Alligator mississippiensis: one gene and its partners. The protein of the gene in region 1 purifies or fractionates together with the protein of each later gene. This does not show direct contact. Links are inferred from orthologs where the notes say so. Each region holds a gene or a part of one and is shown in the gene's direction. Other genes may lie near its edges.

Region 1 (7,690 bases):
ATTTACCCTATATAAAGTGCCTGAGCTCCCACCCTACCTAAGACATCAGAATATTTTTCTTCACAAGGGCCAAATCCACTCTGTAACAAAATCAAAAGTGGGGGACCTCCGTTTCAAAGCACACTGCTTACTGTTGGATAATGCAGGCAAACATATTGCTTTCCCCCAAGTAGACTTAGTATCATGTGTTTGGCAAAGTTATATATAATATGCTCAAGTCTAGGCCAATGCCAACAAATCGACATCACTAAAGGACCAGATATACATTTAAGGGTCTCTATCCTGACTTAAAACTACCAGGCTTAAAAGTTAAATAGAATACTCCATTTCTAAAGCTCTACAGGTCATCCTTCTTCCCTCCCTACCCTTCCATGCCACAGCAGGCCTGGGAAAGGAAAAAGTGGTGGTGATGGATCCTCAAGTGCTGCTGCCCATGAAGTCCTGGAATGAGGGAGATGGGGGCTCCGGTGACACTGCCTGGGAGAGGAGTGCATATGAAGAATTCCTGGAGATGCAGGAGGTGCTGACTGCTCGGCGTGGGAGCTGCAAAGTACAGAATCTTTTCTTGTGAATTTCTGGAGAAGCTGAAAGCTTCACATAAGCAGGCAGCATTTCATGTAAGTCTGTAACCCAATCTCAGACAAGGCTCTTCAGCAAAAACTCCTGTAATAAGTCGCAGGCATCTTACTAAAGCTTATACATCTCTGATTTAGTTAAGTCTATAGGGTGCATCTCCACCCTCTGCCTTCAGCAGTGTAAGTCAGACACACGCACACAGGTAAAAAGGGACAGGACAGGGAGAGATCAAATACTGAATGACAGGCCAGGAACACTAAAATATTAGGAAGTGCCAGAATTAAGGTTTCTTGTGCAACCTTAATTCATTCCCCAGTGTGTATGCAGTACATCATAATCTTTAATTATCTATCACATCCTGTTTTTTGCATTGATCCCTTGCCTCATTCACTGTCCATGTTAAATGATACCCACTGAATGGGTAGCTGTATGTTTCTTTGGTTACTTGTGCAGCTGTAACCTTTATTTATTACACAGCATCTAAAGCCTGCACTGAACACAGAATTACACATTTTCTCTTGGGCACTTCCAAAGGTAGTTTGCAAACATTTGTGAATCTATCTTCACAACAACTCTGTGAAAAAAAAAAAGAGAGTAGTATTATTTCCAATTTACAGATCAGAATCTGAGGCAGAGATGAAGGACAAGTAACCAAGTGTCTAATACTCTGGATGTCTACTTTGAGATGGGTCCAGCTTTTTTCAGTTTGTAGAATTATGTAACACTTTCCATGCAAAGTTATAGCTAACTAAGGTGAGTGCCCAACAGTTCTGCATATCAAGGTCCTGGTAACTCAACCAGGAGTGATGCATGATTAGTGTTCAACAGTGTACATTTTGGTTTAAGTATCAGTACTAGTATCACAGAGGAAGTCTTTAGATGGGATCCAGTTTTCAACTGCCAGAACCACTAAGCCGTTCCTTTTCTTCTGTTTCACTAACTGGATACCTTCCAATTTCTAAAACAAGGGACCCAGAAATCACACAGCCACCTGCATCACTACTACACAACCCTTGCAGCACTGTTTTCCTTCCTGTGCACTGTACAAGGAAGGGGTCCATTTGCAAAAAACAAACAAACCACATAATAGGAGACAAACCTAAGGAGAGTCAGGATAAAAGACAGGCCATGAGCTGGGCCATATTATTGGGCTTTCTTTATGTTCTGAGTTTGTGCAGCATCTTGCACAATGGGGTCCTGGTAGGTGACTGGGCCTTCAACATAAGTTATTAGCACACTGGGTCAGACCAGTGGTCCATCTAACCCAGTAGCATATCTCTGACAGTGACAGGAGTGGATGCTTTAGAGCACTTGTGTCGAACAAACTGGGTCTCTGGACCAATCCTACGTGCTGGCCCCAACCCTGCAGGCTGCATGTGGTGTGCAGGCTAGACTCCATACCATGTGTGCTGGGGGCAGCACAGGGGGTCAGTCCATGGCACTACATGCAGCCCATGCCTCAGACCCTTGGGATCCTGCCTGTGCTCTGCAGACAGCGTGTGCCATGTGCTGGTCCTGGGGGCCCTGTGCACAAGTCCCAGGGCCAACACATGTTGCATATGGCACTCCGGGTTGGACCAGCCATGCAGGCTGCACGTGGCACAGGGGGCCGGCTTGGGAGATGCACTCCATACAACGCCCTTCTAGACCTGGACTCAGCATGCAAGGCCAGTCAACAGGACATCACATAGAGAGTGTTCCCTGTACCAACCCCATGCTACATACAGCATTCATGGCTGGTCCAGTGCTGTGTGCAGCATATAGTAGCCCTGAGGCTTGCTGTGCATGCAGCCCTGGGGCTAGCATAGGGTGTGTGCTGCCCATGGCAGGTGGGCTGGACCTAATACTGCATGCAGCACAGGGGGCCTGAGACACAGGCTGCGTGCAGCACCCCAAACCAACCTCCCATGCTTCCTTCAGCATGTGCCACAATTCAGCCCCAGTGGCCAGCGCATGTTGTATGGGGCTGGATCTGGTGCTACAGCCACTCCACAGGGGGTTGGTCCCAGCCTGGCCCATAGAATAGCTCAGGTATGCTCATCTACCCTGTGGGGCCCTACAAGTTTGACACCCCTGCTTTAGGAGAGAGCTGAACAGGGTATATCTAGAGTGACCTGTCCCATCATACCCTCCAACACATCCACCATTGGTTCAGGGAGGCAAGTAACAACAAAACAAATAGAAAATAAAACCCAAAGACAACTTGGCCCAGAAGGGCTTGCAGCACAATGGGACAACAGACACAAGTCCCCAGCTCTGACCTGGCCAGGGCGAGACGGTGGCTCTGTTGACCACTTCTGAGGCTCTGGATTTGCAGTAGTCGGACTGGAGCAGGGTGTTGAAGAGGGTGGACTTGCCCGAGTTGGTGGCACCCACAAGATACACATCCCCATTGCACTTCCAGGAGCCCTGCAGCTTGGAGATCAGCTCCTCCACCCCATAGCCCGTCTTGGCGCTGATCAGGTGAATGTCCACCAGGTGCTGCCTGCCTGCTGAACCCCTGATGCCTTTGGTGACAGGGTGGATGCCCGCCTGGGCACAGTTAAGCAGCAGCTGCTTTCGAAAGCGCTTCAGGTAATCATGTGAGTCTGGAGGCAGCAGGTCTACCTTGTTGCCCAGGACCATTATGTTGATGGTGGGGCCCAGCAGCTCGGGTAGGTCGGGCAGCAGCGTGTCAGGCAGGTCCAGCACATCGGCCACGTAGAGCACCAGTGGGGCACGGCCGTGGCGGGGCAGCTGGCGCAGGGCGGTGCTCACCAGGCTGCGGTACTGGTCCCGTGACACCTCCAGGCGCAGTGCCTGCTGGTGATGTACCAGGAGCCAGCAGCGCTGGCACACGGCACCCCGCAGCCCTCCCTGGCCCTCAGGCTCCCCCAGCAGGGAGAGGTATTTCTCACTGGGCATGTAGCCTGGCATGGCAGGGTCCTGGCAGTGCAGCTCTGCCCCGCAGCCCGAGCAGCTCACACTGCTGGTTGGCATGGATGGATCTGGCTGCCCCTTTGGCCTGTGCTGCCTCCGCTCCTGGCACCGCCTCTCCCGGGGGGGCTTTTTCGGCACCACCTCAGTGCCCCATGGCTTCTCCAGTTCCTCCGGCAGGTACTCTGGGAACACGAAAAGTTCCTCCTCGTTGCTGCCAGGCCCCAGGAGGTCCCACGGCACGGAGGCCAGCCCAGCAGGCAGTGGCTGGCAGCGCAGCCCGGGCCGCAGTTTGAACGGGGTGCCAAGAGCTCGGGCCCGGGCCTGGGCCCCAGCCACCAGCAAGCGGCGCAGGCAAAGGCGGTGCATGGCCGCGGCGGTAGCTGCCACCCGCGTGGGGAGCCCGGAGCACGCAGCGCGGGGCGGGGCGGGGCGGGGCGAGGCGGGGCGGAGCCGCTTGGGGGCGGGCCACGGGCTCTGTGCCCCGGGCTGGGCTGGGCGCCCAGCTCCCGCGGGGGGAAAGTTCCGCAGCGGCTGAAGCCGCCTTTGGGGGCGCTGATTCCCCGCCGCCTGCCCTGCCTGGCACACAGTAAAGGTGGAGGTTCCAAGTTGGAATCCCGAGTGTCCCCAACATTCGGGACAAAGGCGCAGGTTTCAGATGGGAATCCCGAGTGTCTCCCGGCTGGCAGAGGCAGAGCGCACAGGTCTGCAGCCAGAGATGCAGGGGGATGCACACGCCGGAAGGAGCTCGCAGGGAGTCACAGCGGAGCCCCCGCCGACAGACGTACCTAGTGGAGCAGCAGGCGGGGCAAGAGGAGCCCCAACAGTGCACCCTCGGGGAGCTCCCCACCCGAGGCTGCTCTGCCTGCAGGACTCCGGGTGGCTCGGCCCAAATTTACACCCCCCTTCTCCTTCATAAAGAGTGGTACGCGCTAATCGGCGCGGAAAGTGAGCACAGCGCATGCGCGCATACCAAAGCTTTCCCCTTCCCGTTTCTCTCTGGTGGGCGGAGCTCAAAGGCTCGGTTTCTTGCTCAGCCGTAGTACCGACCCGGAAGTAACGCAAGGACGTAACGTAGCCCGCGGAACTGCGACCGGGGAATTGGCGCAGCCGCAGTGCTCCCAGCGCATGCGCACTCCCTGCTCGGCTGTCTGGGGAGCCGGTGGCGCGCCGCTGCTTTCTTTGCTTGTCTTGTTCCGAGCTGTCCCCTCGCCCCAACCGCCGCCATGTACGACGCGGACGAGGGTGAGTGCGCCGCGCGGGCGGGGGGAGCACCGGGGCCCACTCTTGCCTCAGTCGGGGGGAGGCCTGTTCCGTTCCGGGGCGGGGAAGAGAACGTGGGTTTGCTCTGCGCCCCCCCTCCCCTCCCCTGGCGCATCGTGCGCCCGCAAACCTGTGCAGAACGCAGCGACTTCTGGGGGGAGGTTGGAACTCGTGCACCTTCAAGGCTTTCAAAGGGCAGCCTGCCAAACAGGAGTAGAGCAGAGCTGACACTGCTTCGCTTCAGGGAGCTGCCACATGTAGTGTGCCAGATGCAATAGGGGCTCCCCACCATCCAAAGCCGCCTGGGGATGGGGTTGCTCCTGCAAGTCGGGGTCACACAGGACTGGCCTAGTGTTTTTTCCCCTGGTCAAGAATCAGTGGCAGCGAGGAGCCAGTGTTTTCTGAGGGGCTGTGGCATCGGAAGAAAGAAATGCCAAAAGGTGGAGAGCTGGTGATGTTGAGTGGGTTGCCAGGGCGGGCATTGTTTTTCTTGGATGTGGGCCCCTGAAGGGGCATCCTAGCTATCAGAAGCAGGGAGCCTCCAGCCCCTTCCCTCAGTCTTTGCATTGAGTTCAGACTGACTTGCTGGTATTCACCTTTTACTGGTATTCACCATACCATTGCCTTTTCCTCCTTTCTATTAAGGACCAATGGACGAATAAAGACTTCTGTATTCAATTTGAAATACAGGGCAATGTAGCCTTGCCTGTTGTATTAAGTTCATTGGAAAGCTGTATGTAAATAAGTTTTTTTTTCTGCTAATGGATATCCAGTGTATGGACACATGATAATTCTTAGTCTGATTTCAGTGTTTTGCGTTCTTGTCAGATATGCAATATGATGAAGACGATGATGAAATCACTCCTGACTTGTGGCAAGAAGCATGCTGGATTGTTATTAGGTAACTTTCTGAAACTTAAATAAGGCATTTTGGTAGTAGTTGAGGTTGACCTTCTGATATGATACATTTCATCTGGAATTAGATGGAAATTCCAGAACTGCGTCTAGAATCATAAATGCTGTCACTTTAAGAATACAAGACCAGCTGAAAAGCGGTACACAGCTGCTTTATGTGTAAATTGCCAAAGATTAGTTGTTTTGCAATTCTGTGTCTGGTTAATGGGGAAGATAGTTGTGGGAACTCGGTGCAGTTTTTTTTCCTTAGGATACACTTAGTTTACATGTTAGATCCTGTTCTGTGTCCTGGCAATTCCTCTTGGAAGGGCCATATTTGAATACTCTGTTAGGAGAAGAAAATAAACAAATTCATTTCATATTTCAGTGATTGGTTTTGAAGAGACAGTACATATTTTGTGGATTTTTAAACATGGCTTCCAAAGTATCATATTTTGTTTAAAAAAAATAAAAATTCTTGTTCAGTAACTGAATGTACATTGTTTTTTCCCCTAAGCTCCTACTTTGATGAGAAGGGCTTGGTCCGACAGCAGCTGGATTCTTTTGATGAGTTCATCCAGATGTCTGTACAGAGAATTGTTGAAGATGCACCGCCTATTGATCTACAAGCTGAAGCTCAGCATGCTACAGGAGAAGTGGAAGAGCCGGTAAGAGGAGACCTTGTAGAGTCTCATTGTTTTTCAGGTGTACTGACTAAAATAGTATTTACCTCAATCAGCTGATATTACTCTTGTTTCACAAGAATGGAAATGCTAGTTCTGTTTCATCTTTTAACTGTGTATTTCTGCAGTGCATAAAGTCTCCTGCCACTTGGAAAGTTACTGTGTCCTGCTACTTCTTTTTTTCTTTCATCAGAAGACCAAGAATACAGTTAAATGGCTGTAGCAGCAGGCTCTCAGTTACTGCGATGTCATACAATTGCAAGGAAATATGTTATTGACAGAGGACAGTTAGAATGAGCAAGTAATCAAACGTAAGATTGAAAGGCTGGTCCAGAATCTCAATATTCTGTTGGTTAGGAACCTTCTAATTAACAGCTTACACTTATTTACGGATAATTTATACCCGTGTGTTCTTGTAGGTTAGTATTGTTAGATGAAGGCTGAATGGGAATCAGACTGCTGTTTTGCTAAATCGAGCAAGCCAATCAAACTTCCTTTTCCTCTTAGGTGAGGTGTGTCTCAATTTCCCTGTGAGTAGAGAGCCTATGAGGAACAGAAACAAGATCTAATTAGTAAAGACGGTTTTCTCTTAAAGGTTAAGTGCTATAGGGATAAATTACAAATTGCCAAAGTCAGTTTGAGTTAGATGTTGCAAAGGATGTTAAAACAGATAGCAAGAGGTTTTGTATGTGTACATGTGGATCCCACTCATGGTAGCTAAAAGCTCATTTAAGTAAAGACTTTGGAACTGGCAAATCAAGCTAAGCGTTTGACCTAGAAAGCTGACACCAGAGGTTAGTTAGTGACGTTTAAATTGAGCCACTGTTAACTGCCTTAAATAGTTCAGCTATTGGAAATCTGTCATAGAATGCTGCCAAAGCATTTTCTGGTGTAGCAGAGTAAGCTGTAATATTATGTAGAGGGGCAGTCCTAGTTTTAAGCCTGTGAAGCTAAACAGCCTTTGGGTTTGCTACCAAAGGCAAGTGGCTTGGCTCCTCTGCATTTACATTTTGCCCTGCGTACTGCTACAGAAAAGTTATAGAATCAGAAAATTAGGGTTGGAAGGAACCTCAGGAGATCATCTGGTCCAACCCCCTGCAAGTTCTAGTGATACCCAAGGAGTGCAATTTTGTTTCTCAGGAAAAAATACCCACAGTTAAGTGGGTGTATTCATATGTAAATACAATACCACTTTAAAAATGGAATTAGGGTGTGCTACCAGAAAAGACAGGGGGATTATACCTTAGCCCAGTATTGCTCACCATATCTCACCAGATTCCTCACAGTGATCCTTTGTGTTGGTTATGCTTGACTTGCATAACCAATTTTCATATGTCAGTGAATCCACTGCACAGGAA
Region 2 (7,903 bases), on another chromosome or scaffold:
TAAAATGGATTCCTTGGTCAGATCCTGTCTGTGGGCTGTAGGTTGCTCCAGGCCAGATTCTTCTATACAATTTGGTATCCCTGTGATATCCTTCTGGGTCCTCCAGTGTAAACCTGTCCCAAAGGCAGTTGGTGCCTTCCTAGGTGCACTGGTATATCTCAGCAAAGCACAGCTGCTGAGTCAGGTCACCCGGAGCTGCCAGAAACACACAAATGGTCACATGCTTTGTTTGCAGTGGCAGCAGCTGTCTGTTGCCAGAACTTATGTAGGCAGAACCAGGTAAGTCTAGATCAGACTTCTCTTCTCAACCAGGGTGCTGCAAGTTCCTTTTAGGGGTGCCACAGGGTGCTAGCCCTCTTAGGTGTACAAACAAGAGTCACAAGATAAACCAGAGATTTAAAATAGGAATCCACTGTGTGAAAACCATTCTGCCGTGCTGTGGCCTTTCAGAGTTCTTTGTAACGCAGAAGAATGGCTCTATTATTTTTCCATAGTCAAAAAAACTATGTTCCTCCAAACTATACACTGTTTTATTGAGGTATTAGCAATTGGGCAACATGACCAAGAGCAGCTACATACAACAGAGAATATGTGAACATACAAATTACTAGGTGGTAAGGACTCTGTGGGGGAGTTTTATATATGTGGTGAGGTTTCCAACAGCAGCCTGGCTGCCAGCTCAAAAAGGGCTTTAAGTGATTGGTGGGGCATTCTCACCAATCAGGTGATGACAGGGGAGGAGCCTGCCCTGCAGGGGGGGGGGGCGCGAGGCACAGAGCTGGACCTGGTTGAAGACTGCACATCCCCTCTTCCTGATTGGTCCATTCACAATCCAGGGGCAGAACCTCTGGAGGGAATAAAAGAGCAGCATGCCTGGCACATGGGACTGCTGTTGAGGAACGGAGAAGAGGATGGACAAGAAGAGGTGGTGAGAGCTGGCCAGCAGGGCAGAGCTGTTTCCCCAAGAGCCCCAAAAAACGCCCTCACTGGACGGGAGTAGCAAGCAGCTGCATCCCCAGTCCTGCTGCTGAGCACAGCAAACCGTGTACAGCTCAGTGCACAGAGCAAAAGACCCTGGGAGCTGCACGAGGCAGCCAATGCTCCCTATAAGGAGTAGTGGTCTGTGAGTGTGCCGCCTCAGTCCATGAGCACGCTGCTTCGGTCTGGTGTGGGACACTTACCAAAGGGGGCCGGGGACTGGGGCCTGGAGCTGAGAGGCTGGGGGCCAAGGGCTGGAGCCGAGAGCCTGGGGGCTGGAGCCGAGAGGCTGGGGCTGGGTGTTGGCTAGAGGCTAGTCCCTGAGCTGATAGGCTAGAGGCTGGGAGCCGGTGGAGCCTGCCCCAGCCTCCATCTCTGCCTTGCCTCAACTCAGGGAGGAGCCGCTGCCTGCCCCAAGTGAGGCTTTGGCGGTTCCGGGACACTGCTCCGTTCCCCGGCCCTGATGCCACATCTCCCGAGGCCATGCAGGGGAGCAGAGCAGTTCCCTGGAGCTGGCAGACCCTCACTCGGGGCAGGCAGTGGCTCCTCCCCGAGGTGAGGCAAGGCAGGGATAGGGGCTGGGGCGGGTGGCTGGTGTGGGCTCCGCCAGCTCTGGGGAAGTGCTCCACTCCCCGGGCCTGATGTGGGGAAGCAGAGCACTTTCCCGGAGCTTGCGCCAGGCTCCCACCCCCACCTTGCCTAGGAGCTGACCTTCAGCTCCTCTCCTGGTGCACGGCCTTGAAAAGGCTGTGCATGGCCACACTTTTAGTTGTGCGTGGCCATGCACGTGCGCACTTTAGAGGGAACCTTGGAGGCAGCTCTGGTCTATCCCTGGCAAGTGGCCAGGCTTTTTGGTGCACAAGCGGTGCATGGAAAGATATCCTGGGAGCTGATTGGGCAACTTGGGTCTCCGACCCATGGCATGAGGCCAGAAAACCTGGTGCAGATAGCGCTGCACAGAGGGTCCATGAGCGGACCCAGACCCTAGGAGCTTTATAAGGCAGCTCGGGTCTTCCACCCCGGCATGAGGCCAGGAACTTGGTGCAGGCAGTGCGGTGCAGAGGATCTGCGAGCAATCAGAGACCCTGGCACTGCACAAGGCAGCCCAGCTCTCCAACCGTAAGCAAGAGGCCAAGCCCTTGGTGTACATGACGGTGCACAGAGTCCTAAGGGGGCAGTATCCCAGAGAAAGCCCGAGGAAGCTGGGCAATAGGTAGAGCTCTCAGTGCACCTAATGGTGCACAGGGCTATGGGCAGGCAGGTGGCCCTGGGGAGACTAGGAGGGTGGTGAGCCTGTCAGAAGAGGAGATGCTTCGCTGTGAGTTACCAGGAGACAAGAGATTCCCACAGGGGAGGAGGGCTCACCTGGCACACAGGTCAGCGCATGGAGAACCGCCTTGGAAGCAGCTTGTGGCTGCTCACATTAGCCCCGGCCCTAGGCCGAGTGACCGGAGCCCCACAGTGCAGCTCCACTTTAAACTAAAAGAGCCCTGGTGCCCAGGGCAGGGCCTGGGAAAGGGGAGAACCCCCAGTGTGAGACTGGGGAGTTGGAGCCTGCAAGGGCTTGGCTCCTGCAAGAGAGCGAACGAGCCCTGGGTGCCCAGCGCAGGGCACCAGGCTGTCGAGGAGAGCCGAAGGCACCGCTGGGGAGAGGCTCTTGCAGGATTGGCCACCAGGGGATGAGCATCGACTTCTCCAGAGAGGAAGCATAAGTTACTGGGGAAGTAGGCCCTGCAGGGGAGACTGACACAGGTGAGGAGGGTCTGCCACCTCCACCCTCCATTGCAGGAGGTGTGTGTCCACATCCTAAGGGCCCTAAAGGTTAGGGGTGCTTCAGGGAAACCCCCTGGGGAGGTGCTGAGTGCACTCCCTATTTTGAGGGTGTTGTATTAGGGGCTATATAGCTAGAGGTATTCTTTAAGGGGGTTTATGTGTTTTAATGTCTCAATGTGTATATTAGTATTCTTATTTCTGAAGGTTTAAAGAAATATTATGGTTAAGTTACTATCCCTGTGTGTTAATTGTGCTGTATAGGTTGTAAGTTATTTGGTTCATATTTGGTATTATATGTTAATTGTGGAATATTATATATAGTATTATATGTTAAGCCTTGTAAATATTCTATGCTTTATATTGTTTGTATTTATTCTTGTAATAAATTGTACATAATTAAGTATTTGCTTTCACCCGAACTCTATGGAGAGGGGAGGAAGCTGTTGTAGTAGCTGACCCCTTCCTCAGCACCCTGCCTGACCACCACTGTCATCGGGGGTGAGGGCACACCGCCCCAGGTGTACCCAGGCTACATATATATTTATATTTCTCTTTATGGTTCATGATCTTAATAAATGTGTAAATAGTTAAGTTGTAGTGTCCTGGCCTGGCTCTATAGGGAATGGAGGGAAACTGTTCAGTGTGCAGTTTCCACCCACAGCGCACCTGCTAACAATCCCCTTCAACTGGAGAAGGGAGTACTTACCCGAGTACACCCGGGCTACATGCAGCTCAGGTTGATTTCTGCATTCCTGCCCATTCCTCTGAGATGAGGATCTCTAGGCCAGATAAAGAGGGAGCAGGCAAACTGAATCAAGGCCTGTGACCTATATTCTTTCCTAGGAGCACTTTAATTAGCCTGGGGTGTGATAATCACTGGCCTGGGCGTCTTGACACCCTAGAAACTGTCCCTTACAATCCGCTTCTCTCAGGCTAAGCATTAGGATTCAGACTGAACCACTCCCAGGATCAGTCTTCCTCCAGGACACTATAATGATACAGCCAAGAGGGGCGAGGGCCCTTCACAACTCCCCAGCACCGAGGGTCTGCTGCAAGTTGACAAAGGCTGAGAACCACCCACCTAAGAACCGCACCCCCCCCCCCCCCAAGTCTGCAACTGTACATGTTGTATGGTCTTGGGAGAAGGCCAGAAGCAGGTGATTTTTGCAGCAGGCATCCCTGGCAAGGCAGGCTTCGGCAGGTGAACAGGAGTCTCAGCCTCTACCTTCTGGCATGGTGGGGGGAGGGGAAAGAGAGAGCAGGTTCCTCAGAAAATTAAGGTTGCAAGGGCCCTTAGGGGGGCATCCAGTCCACCCCCTGCTCAAAGCAGGACCATCCCCAACTACATCATCCCAGCCAGGGCTTTGTCTAGCAGGACTTAAAAACCTCCAAGGATGGAGACACCACCACCACCCCTCTAGGTAACCCGTTCCAGTGCTTCACCACCCTCTGAGTGACAGTTTTCTTCATATCCAACTCCTGCTCTTCTTCCTTCGCGCCCATAACACTGAGACTAGAACAAGGGCTGTGATCAGTTTCCCTCCGCTGCCCCCTGCATAGCAACAAAAGGCGCCAGACGCAGTCTTGCCACTCAGCAGGCGAGCACGCGTGCCTAGGACCAGGGTGCCCCGCTCTCCAGTTTCCTGCGTGCTTGGGTTGAGATGTGTGGGCGGCGGAAGCGGCCGCTAAGACGTGCTGTACCCCAGCAGGGCTTTTATTTCCGTGCTACACGCGGTCCCGCCCGCGCATTTGGAACTGCGCCTCCACCCGCTGAGCACGCTCATCTCCGAGCTCCCCCACCCCGCCCCGCCTGGAAACTACAGTGTCCAGCATGCACCGCGCCTGGCAGCTCTATGTTGGCGCCCACCTGGATACTACAGGACCCAGCATGCACCGCGCCTGCCCCTTGCGCGCGTCTGTGCGCGCCGCCGCAGTGCAGATTGGGACTGGTAGTTTGTGGTGTACAAGCGGGGAGTTAGGAGGGAAAAAAAAAGTACCCGGGAGCGTTGCATGCCGGGAAACGGCGGTTCCTCCGTGCGCGTGGATGCCCCTTGACTTACGTTCCGCGTTACTGTCCCTTTTAAGCGTGGCCGGGCGCTGCGCCTGCGCAGTAGCACCGTGACCTCACGCTCAGGCGGTGGCTCGTGACTGTTGAGCTCCGTCCCGTCCCCTCCCCTCCCCCCGCGGCGGTGGCAGTTGAGCGCGCGAGTCCCGGTTTTGAGCCGGCGGCGCGAGCGTCGCCATAGCGACCCCCCCGGCGGCGGGAGGACGGACGGGCCATGGCGGAGCCGGCGGTGACGGAGATCCGCGTGCCGGGCCCGCGGCCGCTGCGGCTGCTGGAGTGGAAGGTGCCGCTGGGGGCGGCGGTGCAGATCGGGTCGGTGCTGGCGCTCTGCGCTCCGCTGCCCCCCGCGCCCCGGCCTGGCGCCCCGGGGCCGCCTCCCGCCAGCGCCGCCGCCGCCCCGGCGCAGGGAGCCCGCAGCGGCGCCAGCGCCCGGCCCCAGCGCGCCGGCAGCGAGCTGCGCCTCAAGGCGGAGCGGCCCGGCGTCGTGCGGGAGCTGTGCGCGCGGCCCGGACAGGTCGTCGCCCCGGGGTGAGCGGCTGCGGCGGGGCGGGGAGGGCCCATACACGCACGGGGATGGGCAGGGACGGATAGGTAGGTAGACAGACTTGCGCTCTTTTCATTTGCCATTGAGCCACTCTATGAGAACGGGGACAGACACAGAGGCACGTAAGGGTGGGCGGGCAAACAGATGGGTACAGGTGCATAGGCAGGTGGGCAGACAGCCGCCGCTGGGACCTGTTCCACTCGGCTGCAGAGCGACTGGAGCCCCATGGTGATGACAGGTTGTGTCTCGCGTCCCACCTCACTGGGGTGGCTTGGCCTGGCCCCACATGCTGCGCTTAGTGGGTGATGCCAGTGGGGAAGGTTGAGGAGGTGTTTTGGGGCAGGCAAGGAGCAGAGCTGGAGCGATTCCCCTGGCCCGGGATGGGGCACTCAGGGCTGGCACATCATCCGCAGAGCAGCGCGCTCTGCTTTCTCACGCTGTAGAAGAGCTGAAGCAGACTTGCACGTGGCTTGTTCTTGGCCCCTGATGTAAGGATCTGGGAGCTGCCACAGCGTGTCCATGCTGTTGTCTAGGAGTTCATCTTCAGGCAGCTTATTCAGTTCTGTTTGTAATTTGTGTCCTAGAAGAGCACCAGGGATCAAACAGCAAAAGTCTCCAGCTTCTTTTTCTACCCCACGTTCAGACTCATACTGATTGCAGTAGGTTTTGCCTTCCTCTGTAGTGGGGGCATGGCCCTCGACCCAGGATTTCTTGAGCAAGTATTACAGCATTTCACAGAAGCAGGATGTGGGATGCCGTGGTTCCCCTGCTTTACTTGTGTCAGGTTAGGGTGTCAGGTCTGTGTTGTGGGTTGACAGTGGTTTTACAAACCATTTAGATTATGGACTGCACAGGATAGTTTGGGTAGGGATGATCTTGCCTCAGGAAGGGGGTTGGAGTAGATGACCTCTGGAGGTCCCTTCCAGCCTTGCTTCTTCATGATTCTTGTTTGGCTTAATAAGTAAAAGCTGCCTTAAACTAGCACCTTGCAAGCTGGAATGCTCAGTTAACCGGCATGCCGGCTTGTTAAGGTAAAAACAAAACCGGAAGTGCCCACCGTGGCACTTCTCATTTCACCGAGCCCCCACAGCCCATACGCTGCCAAGCCCCCACAGCCGAGGGCATAGCAGGCTGCACGGGGCCTGCCTCTGTCTTGCAGGAGGGGCGGCAACGCCCTGGACGCAGCAGGAGAAGCGGCGGCCCAAACAGGCAAATGCTGGGCCTCTCAATTAACTGGCATATTTTTGTTATCCGGCACCCCCCATTCCCCATGGGTGCCAGATAACAAAACTTTTGCTGTATAATGTTGGATTGTCACTTGACAGCCAGGTCTTTAGCGGTATGATGACACGACTTAGTGGGACTCGTGTTTACTACAACGTCGTTACCATGAACACTACGATATTTTAACGTATAGGGTGTGGCTTATAAATACCTGGGTTGACCAGTTCTCTGTATTTGGGTGAGCAAGTATGTGTGGTAATTTTGGGGGTTATTTTTTTTTTTACTCTTTAATCTTTGTTACTGAATCTGAAACTTTGTTTCAGTAACCTTGCATACAAGCTTCTCCTGAGTGACTTGTTTACTATTCTTTTTTTTTCTTTTTCTTTTTTTTTAAGAACTTAAAAGTAGTTTCAACTTTTGAATGGGATCTTTCAGCCCTGTAGGTTGTTTGTCTAATGACTTTCCTACCCTTCACTTCAAGCAGATCTTCTCAACAGGAAACCATTGAAAGCTTCTACTTCCTTTGTTTTATGGTGGCAAGTTATTTTCTTTTACTGCAGTTCTTTTGAGACAGATGGATGCATAAAGGCCTGAGTTTGTCTTACTGAAAGAAAGTGGTATTTGTAGAAAACCTGTGTAGCTAGATATTTTTAAAGCTCCAAGAAATATGTGTCAAAACATGTAAGCAAGCTGAACCTTTGATAGAAATAGTAATAGGAAATGCATATATAAATGCAGTGAAGTGTGCTCCTGGTTCTTGAAAGCACACTTTTTTTTTTTTTTTTAAATGATTGTGCAAGAGAAAAAGTGTGGGCTTCTACAAGTGTTGTTTTGGCACAAGGCAGCATATATTGGTGATGAATGTTTTATGGCTATTCATCTGAAACAGACGGAGAGAAGGTACCTCAGAAGTTACTGCTTACTTCCTTGGGGGCTTTGGAAAAGTCCATGAAAAGAGGATATGAAAACTAAATCCTGGAAACAGTAATATAATTTGAGGGTCAGGTGCAGACATAGTTATGTGTCTGGACCAAAATCAAGAACATTTGTGGCACTGCTGGGTATTAAAAAGTTGAACAGTTGTTTCTTTTACTTTTAATACCTAACATAACAAAGACTTTGGTGGTTTAAGACAGCAGGGTTTTTAGAAAACAGTATACACTGGAATATGGGTTTATGTTAGATTTGATGCCAGCAAATATAAACACTTCATTTTGTTACGTGGAAATTGGTATGCTCAGTACTTGTGCTGGATTCTCTCACTCTTAGTCCAGTTGATCACAATTAGCAGACATGTACTTTTCCTTTTTAAAAAGAAA
Region 3 (7,431 bases), on another chromosome or scaffold:
GAAGGCCTTCGATACAGTATCCCACACCATACTGGTGAACAAGTTAAGAGGCTGCGACTTGGATGACTACACAGTCTGGTGGGTGGCGAATTGGCTAGAGGGTTGCACCCAGAGAGTTGTAGTGGATGGGTCAGTATCGACCTGGAAGGGTGTGGGCAGTGGAGTCCCACAGGGCTCGGTCCTAGGACCGATACTCTTCGATGTCTTCATCAGCGACTTGGACGAGGGAGTGAAGTGTACTCTGTCCAAGTCTGCGGATGACACAAAACTGTGGGGAGAAGTGGACACGCCGGAGGGCAGGGAACAACTACAAGCAGACCTGGACAGGTTGGACAAATGGGCAGAAAACAACAGAATGCAATTCAACAAGGAGAAATGCAAAGTGCTGCACCTAGGGAGGAAAAATGTCCAGCATACCTACTGCCTAGGAAATGACCTGCTTGGTGGCACGGAATCGGAAAGGGATCTTGGAGTCCTAGTGGACTCCAAGATGAACGTGAGTCGGCAGTGTGACGAAGCCATCAGAAAAGCTTATGGCACTTTATCATGCATCAGCAGATGCATGATGAACAGCTCCAAGAAGGTGATACTTCCCCTCTATCGGGCGCTGGTCAGACCGCAGTTGGAATACTGCGTGCAGTTTTGGGCGCCGCACTTCAAGAGGGATGTGGATAACCTGGAGAGGGTCCAGAGAAGGGCCACTCGTATGGTTAAGGGCTTGCAGGCCAAGCCCTATGAGGAGAGACTGGGGCACCTGGACCTTTTCAGCCTCCGCAAGAGAAGGTTGAGAGGCGACCTTGTGGCTGCCTATAAGTTCATCACGGGGGCACAGAAGGGAATTGGTGAGGCTTTAGTCACCAAGGCACCCCCGGGGGTTACAAGAAATAATGGCCACAAGCTAGCAGAGAGCAGATTTAGACTAGACATTAGGAAGAACTTCTTCACAGTTAGAGTGGCCAAGGTCTGGAACGGGCTCCCAAGGGAGGTGGTGCTCTCCCCTACCCTGGGGGGTCTTCAAGAGGAGGTTAGATAAGCATCTAGCTGGGGTCATCTAGACCCAGCACTCTTTTCTGCCTATGCAGGGGGTTGGACTTGATGATCTATTGAGGTCCCTTCCGACCCTAGCATCTATGAATCTTTGAATACCACATCCATGCTTTGTTATCAAGGAGCAATGCCAAAGATGTAATCATACTTTCTGCTAATTCTGAAAAACGAAACCCTATACTCTCACAAAACACCAAATTACAAAACTTTTCAAAATTAGGCATCTTTATCATATTAAAGGAATAAAGAAATTTGAAAATGTGACTTAATACGTTTATCAAGATGTGAAAGTGTTGTGGTAATCTGAAACACATCTTGATAAATGTATTAAGTCACATTTTCAAATTTGAGGATGGAAATCTGTACATTACTGGTGTAACATCTTTCTTGATAGCAGCAAACTGTATAATGAGCATTGTAGCAGCTACCAGAGGAGAGGCGGCTAAATTATTTTTATCTATAGTGCCTCTCTTTTTTTTCCAATGGCTATAACATGGCAAACCAGTTACGCAAGGGAATGCAGATTACTAGGTCTGGTTTCTGATGACATACAACATTTCTAGAAAGCTTACAAAGCTGTTGCAGTTATAAATGACATATTGGAGGTAGGATGGGGATAGTTTTGTGACACTTTTTGCACAGCAGAAGAATCTGAGATTTGAAACTTGAGTTTGTGTAGAAATAACCTAATGTGAGAAGCAGTGCAGACTCTTGGTCTGGATCAATCTGATTGTCACCTGATGATCTCACAGAAAAGCACTTGAGAATTTCATCCTGAATCAGCTACTTAAATATTGTTTTTTGACTGTGCCTCTTAGGTCAGTGGTTCTCAACCTCAGTAGCCTCCAGGCAAAAATCTACTACAATGAAGAAAAGTCTCACTGACTCAAAACTAGATAGGCAGTATGTGGCCTCAAACATCCATAATGCATTAAATTCTTAAAAAAGATTGAGCAGCTGGACCATACCCAGGATTTTTCCTCAGTGCCAGAACTAAATAATTTTTCCTTAGAGAGATATAAAGTTAGAGAAACAAAAATAGCATGAAAGTCAGTCCTAGGAATAAAATTCTGTTCTTAAGTTTTACTTATGTCAACTATTTACCTCAAAACAGTAACTGCTCTTTTTTAACTGGGATATGTTTTTTGCAATGCTCTCATTTGGCTTCCTATAGCAAATACCTAAGGTCTAAATCATTAAAATATTTCTACACATTACAATTTTTTGTATTTCACATCCCAGCTGAACCAAAGTGATACACTGTTTGCAAAAACTAAGAGAAAGAGCTTTCCCATTACCTTGATTTCCACATTTCTTGTTTTTAAATTAAATCGGATTTGAAGTTGCAAATGTTCCACAACAGGTGTGAATATTTTCATCCAATTCTCTTTCAAAGGGGTATATCGGTTTGCTGGTACAGGGATTTTCCTCATTTCAACTTTTTCACCCTAGAAAAAGGGATTTCAGTTTTACTTAAAAAAAGAAAAATTAGACTAATGCCCCATGGATCCCAAAATAAGGGTCACCCCTCTCCAAAACCCCCACATGCACATTTTTGTCCAACCCATTTCTAAAATTACCCAGGCCACCCACCCCCACTGGTCTGAGGAGGCACAATTGACCAGTATGAGAGGCCTGTCCCCTCCCCACCAAATCAGTGGGTTTCCAAGATGCTGCCCTGCTTTGTGCAGTCCTGTGAGAACTCATTTGAGATGTGCAGCACATTAAGTGGCCCCGAGCTTCCCCCAAACCCATGCTGACACGCTGGCTGCTAGAAGACGGCCTGTCAGTGTGCTCAGTCACCAACAGGTTTTTTCCCCGCCCTTGAACAGAATGAATAATAGTCCAACAGACAGTGGATTGCAGGACTGCCACACTCACAATCCACCAAACAACCAAGCAGTGAAAGAAGAATGTTATGCCTAAGTTTTGCGCTGGGGTGCAAAGTGCTAGTAATACTTGTTGGGAAGGGGCTGCATTAAGGACCAAAGGCTGCCATCAAGGACATCAACCTTTAAACCGGAAACCTGATGAGGTTTCTCTGCTGAATCCTACTTCATTCCCATCTAGAGCTCTTCAGCTGTAGCTCAGCCAATGTAGCATCAGTGTGGATTTGGGTAAAGGTTGAGCCACTTGCATGTCCTGTAAAATGATTTACCTCTAAGGTAAGGACTGCAGAAGGCAGGGCAGCACCTCATATACTAACTGGTTTATGGGGAGGGAGGTGGTCCATCTTGCCCAGTCTCAGTGCCCCCTTTTAGTGAGCTCACTGTCAACCTTTGACCTTCACTCCTGTTTTGTCTCATGAATTCAGTTAACACATACGAAACAGCCCCCTCTATAAACAGGAAGGGCTAACTGTTGCTCTGCAAGCATAACATCCATGTTCCCAACATGCGGCAGACAGGCCTAAGAGGAGGCCTGTCCTGCTGTGCGTGTCCAGGCATAAACAACTGGATTAGATGACCTCTGGGGGTCTCTGCCAGCCCCACTTTTCTATGACTCTAAATTGGGCAAAATGCTGTCAGCAAGACGGCAGCGCCAGGGGGCTGTGGCAGCTGCTCCAACTACCTGGGCACGCATCTCACTTTACAGTGAGGGTGCAAGGCTACTTTATGGGTGGAATAAAGATACCAACGAGCGTCACACTGGGGCAGCAAGCAGGCACCGAAAGGGAGCGGGCAGAGGGTCTGACCAGGACTCACTCTTCCTCTCCCACTGGCAGCCTCCAGCATCTACAGGACCGCAGGGACTCGGAAGTCCGGATGCAGAAGCCGTTACCCCTTTTTTCCCCAAGGGCCTGCCCAACCCCTGGCCCCTACACGCCGGGGGGGGGGGGAGAAGGGGGGTCGCCCCGCCCCTTACACACGTCACGCCTAGGCCCCGCCCCCGGCGGGCGCGGCGGGGGAGGGGGAAAACCCCCTGTCTGCCTCACGTACCCCAAGTGCGGCGGTGGGGGCGGCGGCGGGAGGGAAGCTGGGCCTCTTGCTGGGCCGCGGCTCCGCCGTGTCCATGCGGCTCGCGCCAGCCGCTCGCCGCTTCCGCTTGCCTCTTGCCACCACGCCGGTGAAGCCGCCGTCGACCTCCACGGCGCTCTGCGTCTCCATGTTGGCTGCCCCCCCGGGCAGGTGTCCCGTCACCTCCATTCCCCACGTGCGCTGCGGGCCGCCGCGCGTCCTATGCGCATGCGCGCGAGAGGGGGAGGGCGGGGGCTGTCCCCAAGAGGCGGAAGTAACCTCCCTAAGACGGGCGCGTCCGGCGGCAGGGCGGGGAAAGCCTAAACCGGATGTTGCGCTCTCAACGCGCTTCCGGCGGGTTGCCAGGGGGGTGCAGGGGCGGTTGTGCGCGTGAGCGGCGCGGCGCAAGGCGGGTCGGCATGTCAGGCGCGGGGCTGGAGAAGCCACAGCTGATTGCGCACCTGCAGCAGGCGCTGAACTACACTGCCTTCCAGGCCCTCTGGGTGCCGCGCAGCGCGCGCTTCCTCTGCCTCGGCAGCCTCCCGCGCGGCACCGGCATCATTCAGCTCTACGAGCTGCAGAGCGGCCGCCTCAGCCTGCTGCGCCAGGTCCGCGCCGCCCCGGGTGGGGGGGAGGAAAACGGCTGGTTGCTATGGCGACGCGTGGGCTGGGGCGGGCTGCCAAGCGTCCTGTCCCGTTCTCCCCCACCCCCCCGGCGCACCATGCGGCTCCAGCAGGGGCAGGGAGCACAGGGTGGGGAGCAGAAAGCAGAAAAGTCGCTATGGTGGGGAGCAGAAAGCAGAAAAGTCGCTATGGTGGGGAGCAGAAAGCAGAAAAGTCGCTATGGTGGGGAGCAGAAAGCAGAGCAGCGGATCAGGTGGGGATCAGAGTGACACTGGCAGGGAGGGCGCAGGGATAGTTTGTGGCAGGCCGGGTAGCCTGGTTGCTCTCTGCCCTGCTCCTTCAGCTTGGGGAACGGGCTCCTTTATTCCGCTCCCATCCTGATGCTCGTCTGCTATTACTTCGTTCCTTATTTTCAAGATTTTCCTTTGCAAGTAAAATGCCACAGACTTCCTTTACTGGACACGTTGCCCTCTGTCAGGCCCACAGTTGCCATAAGCTCAAGATTTGCTGCCCTTTCTCCATCTAATGAAGGAGTTCTGGTTAGTCAAGTACCCCAGAGGGATGCGGTTGTGTTGTTCCTGCTGGCTGTTTCAGGCTTTGCTCAAAGTTGCAGGCATGGTGGCAGCTTTTGAGGTACATTGCAGCTCCACGTGAGAAGTCCGTGTTTAAAATGCAAGTAACGTTTGAGGATTTGCTAATCTTCAGGAGTGGGAGTGTCTCGGGTGCATGGGAGTTAAAGTTCCCAGGGGGCAGGAGTGCATAAACTTTCTTGGTTCACAGTTCTGTAGGGATAACACATGGAGGGCACGGGCTGCTTCAGACTAATAGAAAGAATAGTTTAATTATCTCTTCTGTACATACTGTTAGACCTCTGGGATGAGTTCAAATTTGCCTTACTTTATAATTGCAAATCATTAGAGACCACAGACCTGTCAGCCTTTGAATATTATTAGTGAGCAACGGCAGGGGAGGAGAATTACCATATTTACTCAAATCCAAGACGAGGTTTCTTTCCTCTCCATTCAGTATGGGGGGAGACACTCATCTTGGATTTGAATACAAGGCAGGGAGCAGGCAGGTACTGTGGCTCCAGCCCAGCCCTGACCTGGTCTCAGAATTGGGAGTCAGAGCCACAGCCCAAGCCACCCCCACAACCTGCCCCTTCATCTCTGCTTCTGTTCCTTCTGCCCCTCTGCTCTCCCTTGCCTATGTGCTCAGTTTTAGCTCTGGCCTGGGGCACAGAGTACATGCTGGCTTCTGGCCCTGCCCAGCCTAGCAGCACCAGTTGTGATGGCACCAGCTCTTGCATTGGCTTCAACCCAGAGCTGAAATTGCCACCGCTGCAACTGCTGCTGCCAGGCTGGGCAGGGGGCTGGAGTTAGAGCCATGACTGAGGGAAGTGGCACCAGGAAGGTGGGGCCCACAGGCAGTGGTGGGCAAGCAAGTGGCAGGGATAAGTGTTGGGAGGCAGGGGGTGGGGAGGTACAAGTGAGGAGGGGGTACAGATGGCAAGCAGCAGGGTAGGGGCGCAAGATGCAGGGAGCAGTCCATTGGACGGTGATGACATGTAGGGGATTCACATGCACCCCCTGAGAGTCCTGGTGTACCCCCTAACAGCCAGTGTTCTCCAATTAGGAGACAGGCAGGGGGGGCAGGCAGAAGTGCTGGTGGCCCCCCCTCGTGAGTGCTGGCTGGCTGGTGGGGGTAGCAGGAAAAGCGCCACTGGCACTTGCAGGAGTGTCGCTTGCACTTTCAGGTCCGCATGAGCGGCTGCAGGGGACACTCCCCACCCCTGTCAGCAAGATGGGCCACAAGAGACCCCTCCCCCCAGTTGGCGCAGTCGGCTGCAGGGGGACTTCCCCTCCCCCGCCGTGGTTGCTGACTGGCTGCTGGGGGGGCACGTGCCCCCCTGACTCAGGAGGCACCAGTCGCCCATGCCATTGGACACCCCCGCCACCTGCCACACTGACGCCTGCTCCTTTGCCATTGCTTGCCTCCCCATCACTGCTTTTATCACCACTGAGGTGGGGGGGGACAAATTTAAGATGACCCTCCAAGAATTAGATTCTATACTTGGAAAATTACAAACTAGCAAATTGCCTGTCAAGAATGGGGGGGGGGGGGGAGACGAGTGCTGCCACCACCCCATGCTGCTGTCGCCTCCAAGGAGCAGGGTGGCAGGGGCTCTGTCCTCACCGTCATTCTCCCCATCCCTGCACCGTTGCTGTGTCCCCGCCATCATTCTTGACAGGCAGTTTGCCCTGCACACAGCACTGGCTGGAGCCACGCCCCCAAGAGCGTTACAGTTACAGACTGACACACAGATGGACTAAGCCCTTATATATCATAATTTATAAATTTTTCATATATATCTAATTATTGGGGGGGGTCATCATAAATTTGAAGTCATCTTGGATTCACGTAAATACTGTATTGTTTTATAGAAGGTTTAATTTGCATTTTATACAGGAAACCCTTGGTATTTGTGGGTTCAGCATTCACAGTTTCAGATATTCGCAAATGCTGAACCTGCATTTTAAATACACTTTGAACACTTACCGGAGCTCCTTGGGAGCTCCGCGTTTGCTGCTGCTGGGCTTCTGCCACTGCTGTCGGGCTCCTACCGTCCCCGCTGGAGCCGTGCCCCACCCCCCAGGTGCTGGGGGCACTGTGTTCATGAGCGCAGTGCCCCATTCATGGATTTTGCTGTTTGTGGGGATCACGGGAATGTATCACCCGTGAATGGTGAGGGTTGCCTGAACTGACTTCTAAGAAGCTCTGTATCTGCAGTAGTGTTTTGGTG
Region 4 (8,135 bases), on another chromosome or scaffold:
GAAGAACAAACATAAAGATATTAAAAGAACTAAACAGGTAGAGCCTGGCCAAGTAAAGGCTAAATAGGGTTTGCACACAGAAACTAAAAGAGTATCAACTGAGATTGTTTAGGGTGGGGTGGGCAATTATTTCAGGTGGAGGGCTGCTTAATGAGTTTTGGTGAGCTGCTGAAAGCTGCAAGGGTAGCCCTGCCCCTTGACAGGTGCTCCACCTTGAGACCAGATGTCCCACCTCTAACCCCTGACCTTTACCACCAGAAGTCCCTCCCTTTGCCCTGGGAATACTACTTTTGGGAAGAAGGGCGCTACTATCTTGAAACCAAAAAAAAAAAAATCATACATTAAAAAATAAAACATCTATAACTTATTTTAATTTTATTAAAAAATATTCTTGTCCTGATTTATATGTGCTTGCATAGCTCAAAATACGGTCCTACTGGGCAGTAAGAGAGTGTATGTGGAAGGATGTGGTTGGGGAGTGGGGTGTGAAGTATGTGTTTGAGGTGGTGGCTGTGGGGCTATGGTGGGTGGGGTGGGAGGGACAGAGACAGGGCTGGGCTCCCAGCTCCATTGTGTGCAGCTCTCATGGACAGCACTTGAGCCTCATGCAATACAGCCAGGCAGACCCTGTGCCCAGGCTCTGTGCTCCTGCCACCCCACCCTGGGTCCATGCCAGCCCCAAGGCACTGGCACAGGCTCCGTGCCACTGCCCGCCACTCCCCTGCTTTCCCTCCCACTTGCCTGCCTGCCACTGTTCCAACCACTTCCCAGCTGTTGCTGCTCCTGCTACTTCTCCCGCCCATCTTGACTCCCTGCCTGCTGCCACAGCTTTCCATCCTCTGCCATTTCCTGCCTGCTGGCTGCTCTTGCTCCAGCCTGCCCTGGTCAGCACCACATGGTTTCCAGACTGCGTTGGCTGATTGCAGCGGTCGTTACCCCCCACTCCCCCCCATCCAAGTGGAAAGTTAGATAAGATTGGATGGAGGGAGGGCAGGGAACATCTAAAGGGTCACCAGGCCAGAAGCCACAAAGACTTCCGGTTGGGGGCTGGGGTGGAGTCTGGGGGCAGGGTGGAGCTGGGCCAGCCTTACTGCTCAGCTGCTGGGTTCCGCCACCAGTTGCCCCTGGGCCCTGCTGCCTTATCTTCAACAGGCAGCCACACAGTTAATACATTTTCTATGTTTTTTTTTAGGGGCGCTGTAGACTAAATCTAGCCTGTAGGCTGTATTTTGCCCACTCCTGGCTTAGGGTGTTTATAGATTTTATTTTTTTTAGGGTCAGAAAGGACCTATTAGATCATGGAGTCCAACCCCCTGCCCTGAGGGGTAAATGGATTCTAAATGTGTTCTAAATGGATGCATCATAACTAGGAGCAATAGGATGAACAAAGGCAAACTTAAGCAGAGTATTCGCAAGATCTACTTCACTGCTGATTTAGTCTTCTAAGGGAATCTGCGAATCCCATCACTTGTATCATTTAAAACTGAGCTGAACAAAATACTGAAAGATTTTCATGGAACAATATTGGACTGAGGGGAGAATAAAAGTTCTAGTTCCATGATCTATATAAATGTCTTCCACACAGCGTCCTCTAGTCAAGCCTGAAGTTTATGACAAAAGATCTGACAGCATATTATGTTATATAAGATTATCATCACATCCAACTATCAAACAGGAGGAACAGAAAACTGAAGTAAAATTTATTCAATAATAGCAAGTGTTACAAAAGTATTACATCTTGTTTATATTTTCAGTTTTAAATCTACTTATTTCAAAACGGTGTCTCTGTACATGTAGTGTTTAATGTTAAAGCCAGATTTGCAATTTTGAATGAGTTCCACACTAGTTTTTAAAGGGACACCACTCATTTTGAAGCACAGAGTGAGCAAAATAGTTTCAGGTGCTACCCCTGCTGCTGAGTTCCCATGCTGCATTTTGTGAACTAAAAAGATTCCTTGGTATTTATGTGGCTTTTCATACAGCAACCAGGAAAACTTACTACGAAGAACTCATGAAAAGCTTATGTATAAAATGAATACATTAAAAAAAAACAACCAAAACCCTTTCTTATCCTTCAGTGACAATACTCTTAGGCATTGCTTGTCACAATTGTGAGAGAGCATATTTCAGATAGACTGTTCCTTTAAATTTTAAATAAAACAACTGATTACGGGGAACTGTCATTCTGAGTATAAATATACCTATAATGTAACAAAGCTGAGAAGCCCAAAAAAGTGGCATCCATTTTCAGTCGTTAAAACTCAAGGAAACTTCTATGCTCAGATATGGCTACTATAGCACTAATGAACATGACCACTAAGGTCGCTATTTTCTGCTCTGCTCCTCTGTATATCCTTTTGCACAGGGAGATATTTATAAATATCACTTGGATGCTGCTGCTAGACACTAGGATTCTTGCATCACAAGCTGGCTGCTGTCACACCTTCTTGCGAAATGCTTTAAACAAATTACTTTTCACTTGCTCAGTTTTTCTTAAACAATAATCAAAATAGCCAGCTTGCAATATAAAAGCACAAATGCCTAGCATAGGCAGTACAAAGGCATCCTTGATTCTGTATCTACAAGTGACCTAATATGGGAAGGCAAAAAATACTAGTATTACATGAAGACGGGACTGTGCCAGCTGCCTGCAGTGATTCCAGCAGCCAGCTTCAAAGTCACAGTGGGTATGTATGTTTCTTAAGCATGTCTCTGGATATTGCTGTAGATGCCCAGGTTCCGTGCATGCAATACCAGATTCTTTCAGCCAGCAACGTCCACTGGGCCTAAACCCTGGAAGGCAAAATGACTCCTACTGTCTAAGCTCCATCTTGCCACCCACAGCAGTGAAACAGAACAGCTCTTACCTTTAGATTTCAGATTAGTGTTAGAGTTAGGCAATTATTTGATCTTCTGGCTTCCTAGCTCATTGATAAGGACTGTTCTTCATGTAATACACTGGAACGATAGGCATTTAAACTGCCCTCTCCCGTCTTTTGCCCCGGAGAATACCATATTTCTATATGCTATCTGTAGATTTTTCTCACAGCTCACGCAGAAAGCTTGAGATACCCGAGTGAAGTCACTTCTATTACACTGCTATGGACTACTTACATAAAACAAGACCGTTGACTTGTTTTATGAAGGTCACTTTGACTATCTGTAGCCTTTAAAGATGGGTCTAGGGAACAAGCTACTTGAAAAGGGCATCGGATTGAACTAGGATTCCCTATGAACAAAGTAAAATAGTTCTTCAGTTATAGCAGCCATCTAGGCCCAAATCAACCTCCTTGGCATGTCTGAGGAATGTCCCTATCACAATTTTACAAGATAGCCAGTTATAGCAGAGTATGCAGTTTTATTTCATGTCACTCCCTAGTTGCTGCTATGAGCCCTGATTTGTACAGCATTCCTATAGCCTTAATTCAAGGTTGATCCCTGTCACCCCCTTCCCTCCCACCACAGGGAGATAACTGCCAGCCACTCACCTCCAGCAAGATTCACGCAGTCCTCTCTCAGAGGAAACAGTTACTTATAGTAGGGCAATGGCCCATCAAGAAGACAGTTAAGTCACATGGAACCCTAGAAACCACCTCCTTCACTGCTAAACATGGACCCTTTCTAGGCAAGGTCCAGTGTCAGCCAGGGGTACAGGAAGCAACCGGGGGCTTGTTTTCACCTTTTAAAGGCCTTTGGAGTCATCTTGCTGGGCGGATCACAAATGCAGCACCTAACACAGCGCTGGCAAGAGGGATCTGCTTATACCTACCAGTACAGCAACAACGGGTGCAAGAAGTTCTGCCTCTGCTCCCCTGAAATTAGCCCTAAACCCCAGCCTCGCATTTATCTGGCCCCAAATAAAGCACGTTGGACCAAAGGTAGGCCTTGGTGTGCAGGGGTGGGGACACAGAACAAGGCCAGGGCACTGCTGATTCCTTGTCTGAGGCAGCCAAGTGGCTCAGTGGGGATGATGGGGGAGATCAGAACCAGCACCATTTTTGGCACAAGAGGGGAAGTCAGCTCGGGTAGGAAACAGCAGTCCCTGCGCACACCCCGAGCGGGGAGACAATGCCTGTGCCCCGAGAGCAGATCGCACGGAGCCGCCCAATGCCGAGGCGCAGCCCCGGCGCAGGGGCCTCAAACTCATCCAGGCGAGCGGCTCGGCGGAGCCCGAAGGTCGCCCCGGGCCGCCCCCACGGGCAGCAGCGCACGTGGGTCCCGTGGCCCCCACCCCCACGCAGCACCGGCCGGGCTGGGGCGGCGCCGTGACACGGCCCCGGGAGGGGGGGGGAGGAGATGCCACGTGTCCGGGCGCTGCACGTGGGGCGGGCCCGCGCCTCCCCCAGGCTAGCGCCGCGGCTCCGCAACCCGCAACCGCGCTGAGGGAAGGGCGGCCAGGCCGCCTCCGCCCGCACACATCCCGCCCCGCCGCCTCGGGGCTACCGCCGCCACCTCCGCCTCAGGGCTGCCGCCGCCGCCGCCGCCGCGGGCGAAGCAACCGCCCGGGAGGAAGGTCCCGCCCCGCCCTGCCCAGTCGTAGGGGCTGAGTTGTGGGGAGGCCACGGCCGCGAGGCTCTACAGAACGCAGCTCCCAAGTCGGCCGGGCCCGCCCCAAGACCCTCCGGCAGGACCTGCCCATAGCCCGTGACTCACCCGCGCGGGTGAAGGAGCGGGGTCCCCGCCCCGTCCTCCCCCGGCCCCTTTTCTCGCGCCCCTCCCCCCAGCGCAGGAGCGAGCGGCCACAGTGCACATGCGCCCCCGTCAGGCCTTGGCGCGTGCTCGCCGCCAACCGCCGTTCCCCCGCCCCCCCCGGCGATTTGAATATGCTAATGAGAGCTCGGCGGGAGCCCTATGGCGCGGCGGGCAGGTCATCACGTGTCGCAGGGACGTGTCCTGCGGGGGCGGTGCCCGACCTGCCCAGGCTGCCTTAAAAGGGGGAGTCGAGCGAGGAAGCGCCTCAGTCAGAGACAGAAAGTGCTGGGGTGGGGGGTGCGCGCGGCAGCTCCACCCAAAACTTTGAGTTACATCCACGGGGGGGAGGGAGCGGCGGCCGCAGCAGCAGCCGGGCAGCCCCCGCCCGCTGCGCCTCACCCCCCGCGCGGCCGGGCCGGGCCGGGCCGAGCGGGCCCGCACACAAAGGCGGCCCGGGCCGGGCTACCCCGCGGCGGGAGCGCCCCGTGCACAGCACTCACTGCCCCGCATCCGCCCCGCGCCGCCCCCGGCCCCCGCCCTGTCCATGTAGCGCCCGCCGCGGGCGCCGCCGCCGCTCCGCACTATGCCCATCTTACTCTTCCTGATAGACACGTCCGCCTCCATGAACCAGCGCACCCATCTGGGCACCACCTATCTGGACGTAGCCAAAGGCGCGGTAGAGACTTTCATGAAGGTACCGGGCGGGGAGCGAAGGGGCGCGGGCGGGGCGGCGCGGGGCCGGCTCGGGGTAACCGTGCGCTTTGTCCCCCCCCCGCAGCTCCGCGCCCGGGACCCCGCAAGCCGCGGGGACAGGTACATGCTGGTCACTTTCGAGGAGCCTCCCTACGCCATCAAGGTAAAGCCCCATCGAGCGTGCGGCGCTCCGCCCCCTTCCCCTCCCCCACCCCACCCCCTCGCCCGCCCCGCCCCCCGCCCGGCGCCGGGGCCGGGGCGGCCGCGCTGGTGTCCGGCCGCGGCGGCGCTGACATCAACATGGCCGCCATGTTGGCGGCGCGGGACGCGAGCCGCAAGGCACTGTGGGTGATCCGGCGCGAGTTGCGAGAAGTGACAGCGACTCGCTCGCTCCGGGCCTGGCTGGGGGGGGGCTCTCCTCACCTCTCCTCCCCTCCCTGCGCCCCCTCCCATCTCTTTCACCCTGCTGCCACCCCCGGGGTAGGGTGGGGGCAGTGCCCTCTTGGCACCTCGCAGGGTGCCCTGGGAAGCACTCGCCTTGTCCCCAGAGGGACCCCCTCCTGTGGGAGCCTGTGTGGGGAAGGGCAATCCCAGCCCCCCACTATCCTGGGATAAGCCCCTCTCTTGCCTTTCTCTTTTCAGGCCGGATGGAAAGAAAACCACGCAACGTTTATGAGCGAGCTGAAAAACCTGCAGGCTGAAGGACTGACAACTCTTGGCCAGTCCCTCAGGACCGCTTTTGATTTATTAAACTTAAATAGATTAGTAACTGGCATAGACAACTATGGGCAGGTAGGTTGACGGTTAATAGGGGGAACACCTAAAGGAAAAACCCTCAAAAAACCAACCCTGGAGCTTTCACAAAACCATACAGGATTCATTGACAAAAATGATCTTCCTTCATGACACTGCAGTTGAAAGTGTTTGGGGCTACTTTGAAAGAACCATTCAGCCATCAGAGCAGCCCCAAGCAGGACGTAGTTTTTACCCAACTTCAGTTTGGTTTTTCCTTAATAGTTGTAAATATTTCTTCACCTTTTGAACACTAACATACCTTTTGAAGTTGTCATTTTTTTTTTTTTCCAGTTACCATGACTGTCAGTTTTCTTTTACATTTATCAGGAGCCAGGTAATTAAAACCTTTGTTTCAGGTCAGCAGCTGATTTGCCACCAGGCTCATGAAAGGAGGAAGCGTCTTCATGTACAGTGCTGTGCCATCAGTAGGGTTGCGCTTTGGGAGTTTAGCTTTTTTCTGAAGTGTTATTGCTGCAGCAGTCACAAATATTAGGCTAATTGGAGCAGAGACTTAATCTTGCGTGTCAGATTTTGTCGTCTTTCTTAGCATATTCCTTCACTTCTGTTGTACACCACCAGATCATTCAGTTTCTGACCCCTATATAAGAACCACAAGAAGCTCTACGTGCACTATTATGATGTATTGGAGCACAATACAATGTTCCTTCTCTCACAAGTTGAGCACGTGCTGTGGGAAGTGTTCAATTCCTGTTTAGCCTAGAACATAAGGAATTAGGAACATGAAGCAAACCATAGGTTTGTTTAGTATAGTAGTGAGTAGCAAACCTGATCATTTGAGAAGGCATATTAATTGTATATTTTGTACTTGAGACATGTTATCTCACATTTCCTCTCCTGGTTTCCTCTTGTGATGTAACCCTCCCTCTAATGGCAAAGAAATGGTTGCTGCTTCTTGTTGGTCAACTGGAGTTACTCAAGTGACATCAGGTGCTTTACAGAGGAATTCTAAATCTGAATATACAGTCTCCTCTTCAGTGTCATGTTCCTCTTGCCTAGGAGGGGCATTTAGACTTCTCATGTTGCATTACTACTAGATGAAAGTCACCCTCAATATTTTTTTGAATGTAGATAGATTAGTGAAACTTTGAAATGCACTACTTTCCCATACAGAGCTACTTTTTTAAATCTATTAACGTATGTGCATGTTCACCTTTTTTTCTTCTTCCCTGAATTCTTGTGTCAGTTGAATTAGGTCAGGGGTGTCAAAGATATTGCCCTCAAGGTAGATATGGCCTGTGGTGTTGCCCATGGAGAGTGGCCCCACATGTTTCATACAGCGTGTGCTGAATTGGATCCATGCACTGCATGTGGGGCTGGCCCGCACTGCATGTAGCATGTGGGGTTGGTCCAGGGTGTGCTGCATACAGTGCCTGCACCATTGTGGAACTGATCTGTGGGCCCTGTCTGGCCTGTAGGATGACACCATACCAGTTATCTGGCCTGTGAACTGGCCCTGTTCCAGTTCATCTGGCCCATGGGGCTCAATGAGTTTGATACCTCTGGCTTAGTCTCATGATGTTGTCACAAAAAAATTGCTATCCCAGGCATAAAACACTAGAAGCCGACTTTGTACTATGGATGTTGATGAAAACTGATGATGCTCACATTAAGTTACTTATCCTGAGTGAGCCAGCCAGTTTAGGGTTTCTTTTTTTCATTCAGATGGGCGGGTGAATTGATGTTCCCATTGGCTGGTTGTTGTTATGAAGCAGTGCTTGATAATATGAAGTTGTTTTCATCTGAGGTGGATCAGACCTGTCTGTAGTTCCTTGATTGCAAGTCTTTCCAAGCTTGCTTATTTTACAAACTTCATCAACTGCTGCAACCTCTTCCATTTGTTGCAGTTGGGGAAAGGTTTCTGGGATATACATGTTTGTGTATGTGATTAAACAAATGTTTCCTAAATTTAAGCATCCTTTGCGCGTGTGCACACG

Evidence for each region.
Region 2: the proteins of POLR2B (region 1) and CTDP1 purify together in Homo sapiens (affinity purification with mass spectrometry; 3 studies listed by BioGRID and IntAct, with this or other methods). This does not show direct contact. The link is inferred for Alligator mississippiensis from reciprocal best matches to the Homo sapiens genes POLR2B and CTDP1.
Region 3: the proteins of POLR2B (region 1) and DNAAF10 purify together in Homo sapiens (affinity purification with mass spectrometry; 3 studies listed by BioGRID and IntAct, with this or other methods). This does not show direct contact. The link is inferred for Alligator mississippiensis from reciprocal best matches to the Homo sapiens genes POLR2B and DNAAF10.
Region 4: the proteins of POLR2B (region 1) and INTS6 purify together in Homo sapiens (affinity purification with mass spectrometry; 3 studies listed by BioGRID and IntAct, with this or other methods). This does not show direct contact. The link is inferred for Alligator mississippiensis from reciprocal best matches to the Homo sapiens genes POLR2B and INTS6.

What each region holds. Positions count from the first base shown.
Region 1 is NC_081825.1:140,546,638-140,554,327, reverse strand, and holds the start of POLR2B (DNA-directed RNA polymerase II subunit RPB2), read left to right. Parts: upstream 1-4,606; 5' UTR 4,607-4,718; coding exon 4,719-4,737; intron 4,738-5,583; coding exon 5,584-5,656; intron 5,657-6,166; coding exon 6,167-6,317; intron 6,318-7,690. Other genes in the region: NOA1 (nitric oxide-associated protein 1), read right to left, coding at 2,838-3,861. UniProt on the Homo sapiens protein: Catalytic core component of RNA polymerase II (Pol II), a DNA-dependent RNA polymerase which synthesizes mRNA precursors and many functional non-coding RNAs using the four ribonucleoside triphosphates as substrates.
Region 2 is NC_081826.1:112,945,377-112,953,279, forward strand, and holds the start of CTDP1 (RNA polymerase II subunit A C-terminal domain phosphatase), read left to right. Parts: upstream 1-4,829; 5' UTR 4,830-5,030; coding exon 5,031-5,344; intron 5,345-7,903. UniProt on the Homo sapiens protein: Processively dephosphorylates 'Ser-2' and 'Ser-5' of the heptad repeats YSPTSPS in the C-terminal domain of the largest RNA polymerase II subunit. This promotes the activity of RNA polymerase II.
Region 3 is NC_081824.1:217,097,302-217,104,732, reverse strand, and holds the start of DNAAF10 (dynein axonemal assembly factor 10), read left to right. Parts: upstream 1-4,356; 5' UTR 4,357-4,423; coding exon 4,424-4,612; intron 4,613-7,431. Other genes in the region: RNA-binding protein PNO1, read right to left, coding at 2,346-2,495, 3,987-4,193. UniProt on the Homo sapiens protein: Key assembly factor specifically required for the stability of axonemal dynein heavy chains in cytoplasm.
Region 4 is NC_081824.1:416,203,403-416,211,537, reverse strand, and holds the start of INTS6 (integrator complex subunit 6), read left to right. Parts: upstream 1-5,126; 5' UTR 5,127-5,275; coding exon 5,276-5,386; intron 5,387-5,470; coding exon 5,471-5,548; intron 5,549-5,649; exon of another isoform or gene 5,650-5,729; intron 5,730-6,027; coding exon 6,028-6,177; intron 6,178-8,135. UniProt on the Homo sapiens protein: Component of the integrator complex, a multiprotein complex that terminates RNA polymerase II (Pol II) transcription in the promoter-proximal region of genes.